2 linked regions of the Callithrix jacchus genome follow. The protein of the gene in region 1 binds, or shares a complex with, the protein of each later gene. Links are inferred from orthologs where the notes say so. Each region holds a gene or a part of one and is shown on either strand. Other genes may lie near its edges.

Region 1 (4,791 bases):
TTTTGTGTTTTTAGTAGACACGGGTTTTCACCATATTGGTCAGGCTGGTCTTGAACTGCCGACCTCAGGTGATCCACCTTCCTTGGCCTCCCACAATGTTGGGATTACAGGCATGAGCCACCATGCCAGGCCTGTAGTTCATTTCTTATGGCTTTGTAAAAGCATTCTACAGTATCTGCATTTGAAAAGTCTTAAAAAAAAAAATTCACCACAATCCATCTAATAGGAGGCCAATCCCACTGTGTTGCAGAATCCTGAAAGTGAAGGAATGAGCAAGGCCACGCCTGCTGGCCCTTTGTCATGTGGGATTCCCAGTTCTGCCTGAGGATTCCATCATACATGTCACAATCAGAAACGTGGATGCCTTGATGTGAAGTGAAGGAGCCGCTCTTGTCAGTTCCTATATTCACTATTAGTTAGTGAAGCATAATTTTTTTTTTTTTCTGAGACAAAGTCTTGCTCTGTTGCCCAGGCTGGAGTGCAGTGGCATGATCTTGGCTCACTGCAACCTCCTCCTCCTAGGTTCAAGCAAGTCTCCTGCCTCAGCCTCCTGAGTAGTTGGGACTACGGTGTACACCACCATGCCCAGCTAATTTTTTTTTTTTTTGAGATGGAGTTTCGCTCTTGTTACCCAGGCTGGAGTGCAATGGTGCGATCTCGGCTCACCACAGCCTCTGCCTCCTGGATTCAGGCAATTATCCAGCCTCAGCCTCCCGAGTAGCTGGGATTACAGGCACGCGCCACCGTGCCCAGCTAATTTTTTGTATTTTTGGTAGAGATGGACGGGGTTTCATTATGTTGGCCAGGCTGGTCTTGAACTCCTGACCTCGTAATCTGCCTGCCTCAGCCTCCAAAAGTGCTGGGATTACAGGTGTGAGCCACTGGGCCCAGCCTAGTAAAGTATAATTTTTAAATGGAAATTAAAAACAATGTGACAAACATTCTAAAGCATTATCCCAAGGTACCCAGTTTTGTGCCCCTAGGTTGTGTACGCCCCACATAGGAAAGCACTGTGCTGTACCGTAGCTGCCTGGCATTTCTCTATATTCTAGTTATGTCATCATTCAAGGTCTGTTTAGTTTTCTCTTTCATTTCTTCTGATTGAAGATGTCTTCTTGACAGATAGCTGTATACCTAGCTTTTTTTCTTTTCTTTTCTTTTTTTTTGAGGCAGAATCTGCCTCTGTCACTCAGGCTGGAGTGCAGTGGCATGACCACAGCTCACTGTAGCCTCTGCCTCCTGTGTTCAAGCAGTCATTCCACCTCAGCCTCCCAAGTAACTGGGACTACAAGTGCATGCCACCACACCTGATTAATTTTTGTATAGATGAATATTTTTTGGTAGAGTTGGAGTTTTACAGAGTTGTCCAGACTGGTCTCAGTCTCCTGGGTTCAAGCGATCTGCCCACTTTGACATTCTTCCAATTTGCTGAGATTCAGGTGTAAGCCACTGTGCCCAGCCATATCTAACTTTGGTAGCTTGTATGTTTAGCTTCTCCCGTCTATTGGGAGCTCTTAAAGGCAGTAGTAGTTTGCATTTTATCATATGTCGCATTGCAATACTCTCAGCACATAGTAGTTACCAGTAAATTTGAATGAATAAGTGAATGAATTCACAGCAAATGCTCAATGAATGGTTCTTGTGCATGGTGTGTTAGCTTTATGTTTCCATCTGCTGTCTGTACCTTTTAGTTGGGAGAAGTGGTTATTATTCGTTTTCCAGGGCCTGACTGAAGCCCAGTGACGTTCAGTAACCTGCTCACTGTCAGGAAACTTGGAGTGTAGATGATTTTTTTTCTGTTGAAGAGTGATTTTTGTTTTGAATAAATAACATATCTCTTTGTACAAAAAGTAACGTTATATAATGACGAATAATGAAGAGGTCTTGTTCTCACCTCTCATCCTACTCATTTTCACCCCTCTTGTGCTTCCTACAGGTAGCCTCTTTTATTAGTTTCTTGTGACTTTTTTAGTGGTTCTCTATGCGGAAATAAAGCTCAAATGTATACTTATTTCTGCTCTTCCCTATATACAAGGGTTTATACTGCATATGTTTTTTAACATATATACTTTTTTCTTATTTACTTTAAAAATATTTTAGTTTTTAAAGCAGTTTTAGGTTCACAGCAAAATTAAGTGGAAAGTAGAGAATTCTCATCCATTCTCTGCCCATTCCCCCACAGCTTCCTCCACTGTCAACATCCTGCACCAGAAGAGTACATTTGGGACAACTGATGAATCCACATTGACAAATTACCCTTCAAAGTCCATAGTTGACATGAGTTCACTCTTAGTGATATTCTTTCTGTGGGTTTGTACAAATGACCTGTGTCTACCACTATAGTATGCTACTAAGCATTTTCACTGCCCTAAAAAACCTCAGGGCTCTGCCTATTCCTCCTTCCCTCCCCCCAACCCTTGGCAGCTACTAAACTTTTTATTGTCTCCATGGTTTTGCCTTTTTGACATTGTCAATAGTTGGAACCATACCGTATGTAGCCTTTTAGACTGGCTACTTTGCTTTAGTAATATGTATTTAAGGTTTCTCCATGGTTTTTCATACCTTGATAGCTCATTTCTTTGTAGCACTTGGTAGTATTCCATTGGCTGTGAATACCACAGTTTATTTACCCACTCACCTACTGAAGGACATCGTGGTGGCTTTCAGCTTTTGGCAGTTATGGTTGGCAGTTATGGATAAAGCTGTAATAAGCAACCTTCGGGAATTTTTGTATGCACATAAATTTTTGGCTCATTTGAGTAAATGCCAAAGATCATGATTGCTGGATTAATTGAATGGTAAGAGTGTTTAGTGTAAGAAACGGCTGAACTGTCTTCTGCAGTGTACCGTTTCACACACCAGCAATGAATGAGAGTTCCTGTTTGCATCCTCTCTAGCTTTTGGTATCTACGTGCGTGTGTGCGCGTTTTCATTGGATAGACATGATACATGTTTTTTAACGTATTAAATTTGTCCTGGACATCTTTTCAATTTAGCACATAGAGAACTTTTACATTTACTTTGTGAACATCTGTATAGTAGGATGAATGTGTTGTGGTTAATCGTCTTCTAATTATGTGCGCTTGGGTTATTTCTAGTATTTTCCTTTTAAACAATGCTACAGTAACCATAAGTCACTTTCCTATGTGGTGCTGCTATATCTGTAGGGTGAGTTTCTAGATATAAGACGGCTTGGTGAACGTTGAGTGTCTTTTCATATGTTTAAGGTCATTTTTAGTAATCTGTGTGTTTCTGTCTTTGGGCTATTTTCTCTTAGCTTTTTTTTTTTGAGACGGAGTCTGGCACTGTCACCCAGGCTGTAGTGCAGTGGCACGATATCGGCTCACTGCAGTCTCCACCTCCTGGGTTCAATCAATTCTGCCTCAGCCTCCTGAGTAGCTGGGACTACAGGTCTGTACCACCATGCCCAGCTAATTTGTTTTGTATTTTTAGTAGAGATGGGGTTTCACCATGTTGGTCAGGCTGGTCTTGAACTCCCAACCTCAGGTGATCCACCCAAAGTGCTGGGATTACAGGCGTGAGCCACTGCGCCCAGCCTTTTTTTTTTTTTTTTTTTTTTTTTTTACATAGAGCCTTGCTCTGTCCCCCAGTCTGGAGTGCAGTGGCATGATCTCAGCTCACTGCAGCCTCCTCCTCCCAGGTTCAAGCGGTCCTCTTGCCTCAGCCTCCCGAGTAGCTGGGATTACAAGCATGCACCACTATGTGCAGCTAATGTGTTTTGTATTTTTAGTAGAGATGGGGTTTCACTGTGTTGGCCAGGCTGGTCTCAAACACCTGACCTCAAGTGATTCCCCTGCCTCAAGCCTCCCAAAGTATAATCCCAAAGTGTTGGATTACAGCTGTGAGCCACCATGCCTGGACTAATTTGTTAGGTTTTTGACGTTCTTGAAATGTTAGGCAGATTAGTTCTTTGTGATATGAATTGCATATTTTTGTCAGTTTATCATTTTATTTTATAGAGCAGTGAGTCTCAATCCAGTACTGATTTCAGAGTCTTGTGTTCTTCATCAGTATGATTATACTACCTGGAATAATACATGTTTTTCATTCCTGAAGAGATTTATGTATGAAAAGATTTATGTACATGTAACTATGATTTAAGGCATTTAGCATTTTAAAACTATGTTCTAACAATTTTTTCACTCAATAGACACGGCATCAGCGAGGAGATACGCATCCTCTAACCTTAGATGAAATTTTGGATGAAACACAGCATTTAGATATTGGACTCAAGCAGAAACAATGGCTAATGACTGAGGTAAGAAAAGGCTGAAAACATTGTTAAAATTTATTTGATTATTGAGAGAGATTTCCTGTCACTAGAATTTTTTTTTTTTTTTTTTTAGACAGAGTCTTGCTCTGTTGCACAGGCTGGAGTGCAGTGGTGCGATCTCAGCTCACTGCAGCCTCAGCCTCCCGAGTAGTTGGGACTGCAGGCATGCGCCATGACGCCAGGCTAATTTTTGTATTTTTAGTAGAGACAGGATTTCACCATGTTGGCCAGGCTGGTCTTGAGCCCTTAAGTGATCAGTCTTTCAAAGTGCTGGGGTTACAGGCATGAGCCACTGGGCCTTGTCTAGAATGTTTTTAATATGATGAAATCTGATAATGGTTTTTACTTTTTCTTAAAAGAAATCTTGTAGGGTTGTTTTTTAGATGTATGCATTTATAATACTGATTTGTTGGTTTTCACGTACTTTTATGTATGTATTTATTTCATAATGTTAAAGGTAAACTTCTGTGTAAAAGTTGGAAGGAAGTCAATGTACC
Region 2 (5,070 bases), on another chromosome or scaffold:
TCCTTCAGAAAAATCAAAGCTAGAATGTTTAGCTATTAAAGTGTTTCCCCCCAGACTGAGATCAAGTGACTTCATTGCAGTGGCTCAAGAGTAGCTGACTCCCTCCTTCCAAATCAGCCCATCATAGAACACCTATTGCTAAGTAGCAAGCCAGAGGCTTAGATTGGAGACTTCAAAGTCTTCAGAACTTCAAGCCTGGCCTATGAAGCAAAAATTTTTTTAAGTACAACTGCAATTTTATTTTTCTCCAAAGAATAGTTTTTCTTCAGTCCTTCAGAACTCCGCTCCTTACATGGGCTTTGGTGGGGGTCAGGGGCAGCACCTGCAGGTCTACATTGGTGGAGGTGTTTGGTCCTTGCGGGTTTCATGAGCTTGATTCCTGACTACCGGGCTATGAATGGCACAACTCACACAGTTGTGTAATCTCACATTCAGCCTATGAAGTACACAGGCGTCAAGGACGCCCGCTTCAGAAACATTGCTAATTGCTGCAGCCTCTACATGTCAAATGATATATTTCTTAAAAGCCTTGTCATTGGGCACACAATGGGCATAGTTCATGCAGCAAATAGGTTGGAGTGCACAGCGTACACCTGGCTGCAGCCCTCTTTGGCATGACCACTGTTTCTTCTTTTCTTTGTTATGTTTGAGGTACAGGCCCAAGAAAGATGAAGTAGAATCTTAATTTGAGGGTGACTAAATGAGTCCTTCAAGACCACTTGCCCCAAATCCACATTCTGCAAGACAGTTCAAGAAAAAAGGCAAAGTAGCCATCTCGCTCAAGGCTATGGGCTCCACAATACTTAGCACAGTTGTCCCCAAGTGTAAACACTTCCCATGGCATGCTTCTTCCCTGTCCCCTAGGTTAGGCACAATAATACCAGGGCATTCTGTCATGAACACTCTCATCTTTTAAGGTGGTGCACACCTGTGGCCCCAGCTATTTGGGAGGCTGAGGCAGGGGGTCAAGGCTGCAGTGAGCTGCGACTATACCACTGCACTCCTCTAGCCTGGGCAAGAGTTAAGACCCTAATTCCATTAAGACAAAAACAGGCATTTCAAACAATAACAGCGGTTTAATTATTCCTTTTGCATCTATGTAAAACAGGTCTTTCTCTATAAAGTCTACTATGCTCTGGTCTAGTTTCAAAAAGTATAAACATACTGAAATTAAAACGTGAAATATTGGCCGGGCGGTGGCTCAAGCCTGTAATCCCAGCACTTTGGGAGGCCAAGGCAGGCGGATCACAAGGTCAAGAGATCGAGACCATCCTGGCCAACATGGTGAAACCCCATCTTACTAAAAATACAAAAATTAGCTGGGTGTGGTGGCATGCACCTGTAGTCCCAGCTACTCGGGAGGCTGAGGCAAGAGAATTGCTTGAACCTGGAGGTGGAGGTTGCAGTGAGCCGAGATTGTGCCACTGCATTCCACCCTGGCACCCGGCGACAGAGTAAGACTCCGTCTCAAAAAAAAAAAAAAAAAAGGGAAATATTAAGAAAAGATGACGTGGAGGCCAAAAACCATGAATGAGGTAGTCAATAGTGTGGCTTATGTGACACACCCACCTCACACTTCCCAGAGGCACATTCAGGAAAGCCACTAGCAGCCACTGCACAAGGCTGCTCCAAGATTACCTGTCACCTGGACCTATGAGTTATTTGAAACAGCAACCTAACCCAATGCCAAGCTGGGCTATTTTCTCCAAAGGAATTCTCAACTGTCTTCTGCAGTAGAATTTCTGTGCAAGTCAGCCCCAGCCCCTGGGAAGGTGGTGGTACGCCTGGGGACATGGTTTCTCTGAGAAGCAGTGACATCTGGAGATTAATACTGAAAGCTGCGCTTCGTCTGGATATCGTCAAGAATCTGCTGCAGCTCCTCATCTTCAAACCGCCCCTCCAAGCTACAACAAGAAAACCGAAAGAATGAGTGACTTGGCAACTGGCAATTTCCTCACACTCTTCTTTGAGGCGTGATAATCTGCCTATATCTCTAACACCTTTACCTTTCATCTGTATTTCTTTTCCACTTTTCCTGAAAAAACATTACAAAATATTTCCAACATGTAAAAGATAAAAGCTATAAAAAATAAACCTTTACAGTTAGCCCCACTTGACTTAGAGTGTTTTTTTTTTGAGATGGAGTCTCGCTCTGTCACTCAAGCTGTAGTGCAATGGCGTGATCTCTGCTCACTGCAACCTCTGCCTCCCAGGTTCAGGCAATTCTTAAGAGTTATTTTATTTATTTATTTTTAAATTTTTATTTATTTTTTGAGAGGGAGTTTCACTCGTCCCCCAGCCTGGAATGCAGTGGCGTGATCTTGGCTCACCGAAACCTCCCCTTCTGGGTTCAAGTGATTTTCCTACCTCAGCCTATTGAGTAGCTGGGATTACAGAAAACCGCCACCACGCCCAGCTAATTTTTATGATTTTAGTAGAGACAGGGTTTTACCCTGTTGGCCAGGCTGGTATGAAAGTCCTGACCTCAGGTGATCTGCTCGCCTCAGCCTCCCAAAGTGCTAAGATGGCAGGCGTGAGCCACCCCGCCTGGCCAGAGTTCTTTAACAAGCAGGAAAAGTCGTTGGCTATGTATACTACCCTAGACCTATACCTTCCCTTCTCCCCCAGGAATAACCACAATTTATCATTGCCTTACATTTAAATTTTTACTTGCCACATATATATTTATATTTACTACACATTTATGGATATATAATATGCAGTAGCTTCAAACTTTATAAGAAATGGCATTGGCTGGGTGCGGTAGCTCACGCCTATAATCCTAGCACTTTGGGAGGCCGAGGTGGGTAGATCACAAGGTCAAGAGATCGAGACCATCCTGGTCAACAAGGTAAAACCCCGTTTCTACTAAAAATACAAAAATTAGCTGGGCATGCTGGTGCATGCCTGTAGTCGCAGCTACTCGGGAGGCTGAGGCAGGAGAATTGCCTGAACCCAGGAGGCAGAGGTTGCGGTGAGCCGAGATTGTGCCATTGCACTCCAGTCTGGGTAACTACAGCAAAACTCCGTCTCAAAAAAAAAAAGAAAAGAAAAGAAATGGCACTATACTGTATTTATCCTTCTGCAATTTTTTTTCCTCAAAATTCATTCTGGCATGTGTTGATATTATTCCATGTTGTTCTAGTGCATTTTTTTCACTGCTGTACAATAAACACTGTTATGACTATACAATGATTCATTTATGCATTTTCTTATTGATCAAGAGATTATCAAATTTCTGCTATCATTAACAATGCAGCATAAGGCTGGGCGCCATGGCTTATGCCTGTAATCCCAGCACTTCGAGAGGCCAAAACAGGCAGATCACCTGAGACCAAGAGTTTGAGATCAGCCCGGCCAACATGGCAAAACCCCATGTCTACTTAAAAAAAATGCAGCAATGAACACTGGAATATACATATCCTTGTAAACTTGTGTGAGTTACCTTTAGGATATGTACCCAGGCAGCTTGGCCAAGATGGTGAAACCCCCATCTCTACTAAAAATGCAAAAACTAGACAGGTGTGGTGGCAGGCACCTGTAATCCCAGTTACTCAGGAGACTGAGGCAGGAGAATCACTGGAACCCCGGAGGTAGAGGTTAAAGTGAGCTGAGATTGCACCACTGCACTCCAGCCTGGGTGACAGAGTGAGACTCTGTCTAAAAAAAAAAAAAGATACATACCCAGGAATGGATTTTTGGAACATGGAGTACATTCGTCTTTACTAGACATAGCCAAATTGCTCTCCAAAATGGTTGTTCTAATTAATGCTCCTACCATCAGTATACGGAAGTCCAGCTGTTCCTCATTTTTACTATCACTTGGTATCACTCTCACTGTTAAAACGGCACTTTAATTCAATATTGGCAATTATGTATGCAAATATAAAATGCTTATGCATTTTATTATTTTTTTTAATTTTTATTTTTTGAGACGGAGTTTCGCTGTTGTTACCCAGACTGGAGTACAATAGCATAATCTCAGCTCACCGCAACCTCCACCTTCTGGGTTCAAGCAATTCTCCTGCCTCAGCCTCCTGAGTAGATGGGACTACAGGTGCGCACCACCATGCCCAGCTAATTTTTGTATTTTTAGTAGAGACGGGATTTCACCTCCTTGACCAGGATGGTCTTGATCTCTTGACCTCGTGATCCACCCACCTCAGCCTCCCAAAGTGCTGGGATTATAGGCGTGAGCCACCACGCCCGAGAAAATGCATAAACATTTTAGATACACCAATTATATTTGCAGAAATTTATCCAGTATACAGAGAACTGATTACAACTGGTACTAACCTTGGGATTAAAGCCTTGGACTCCTCAGCAGTCTCTGGGCAAAGGTTGGCCAAACAGGCCAACTCAAACTTATGAAGCTTTTTCTGGAGTAGCAAGCTGATCAACAGGGGAAAAAAAAAATACCGAAACAAATTAAAACCAAATAAACAACAAAAATCAAATAATAATCAACAGGAAAAAAGGGATCAAATGTAGCTAGCATTTAAAAATAGCTAGACGGCTGGGTGTAGTGGCTCACGCCTATAATTCCAGCACTTTGAGAAGCCAAGGTGGGCGGATCACTTGAATGAGGAGTTCGAGACCAGCCTGAGCACCATGGCAATACCCCATCTCTACTAAAAATACAAAAATTAGCCGGGTGTGGTGATATGTGTCTGTAGTCCCAGCTACTTGGGAGGCTGAGGCATGAGAATCGCTTGAACCTGTGAGGCGGAGGTTGCAGCGAGCCGAGATTGCACCACTGCACTCCAATCTGGGTGATGAAGTAAGATTCTGTCTCAAAAATGTAAAAAGGTAGAGGAGGCTGGGCATAGTGGCTTGTGCCTGTAATCCTAGCAGTTTGGGAGGCCAAGATGGGAGGATCACTTGAGCCCAGGAGTTCAAGACCAGCCTGGGCAACATGGTCTCTAAAATAAATAAATACATACATAAAATAAAAATAGCTACAGGAGAAGTCTTGAAATGTTCCTAATACATAATCAATACCCTAAACACCCTAACATACTCATTGTACATTCTAAGTAACAAAGTATCACATGTACCTCATACCTATGT

What was found. The genes of interacting proteins can lie anywhere in the genome.
Region 2: GTF2E2 (region 1) and POLR2D share a complex: the UniProt entries of both Homo sapiens proteins name them as parts of the TBP-based Pol II pre-initiation complex. The link is inferred for Callithrix jacchus from reciprocal best matches to the Homo sapiens genes GTF2E2 and POLR2D.

Annotation. Positions count from the first base shown.
Region 1 is NC_133514.1:31,763,482-31,768,272, reverse strand, and holds part of GTF2E2 (transcription initiation factor IIE subunit beta), read left to right. Parts: intron 1-4,171; coding exon 4,172-4,279; intron 4,280-4,791. UniProt on the Homo sapiens protein: Recruits TFIIH to the initiation complex and stimulates the RNA polymerase II C-terminal domain kinase and DNA-dependent ATPase activities of TFIIH. Both TFIIH and TFIIE are required for promoter clearance by RNA polymerase.
Region 2 is NC_133507.1:36,569,278-36,574,347, reverse strand, and holds the end of POLR2D (DNA-directed RNA polymerase II subunit RPB4), read right to left. Parts: intron 4,393-5,070; coding exon 4,297-4,392; intron 1,905-4,296; coding exon 1,826-1,904; 3' UTR 1,057-1,825; downstream 1-1,056. UniProt on the Homo sapiens protein: Core component of RNA polymerase II (Pol II), a DNA-dependent RNA polymerase which synthesizes mRNA precursors and many functional non-coding RNAs using the four ribonucleoside triphosphates as substrates.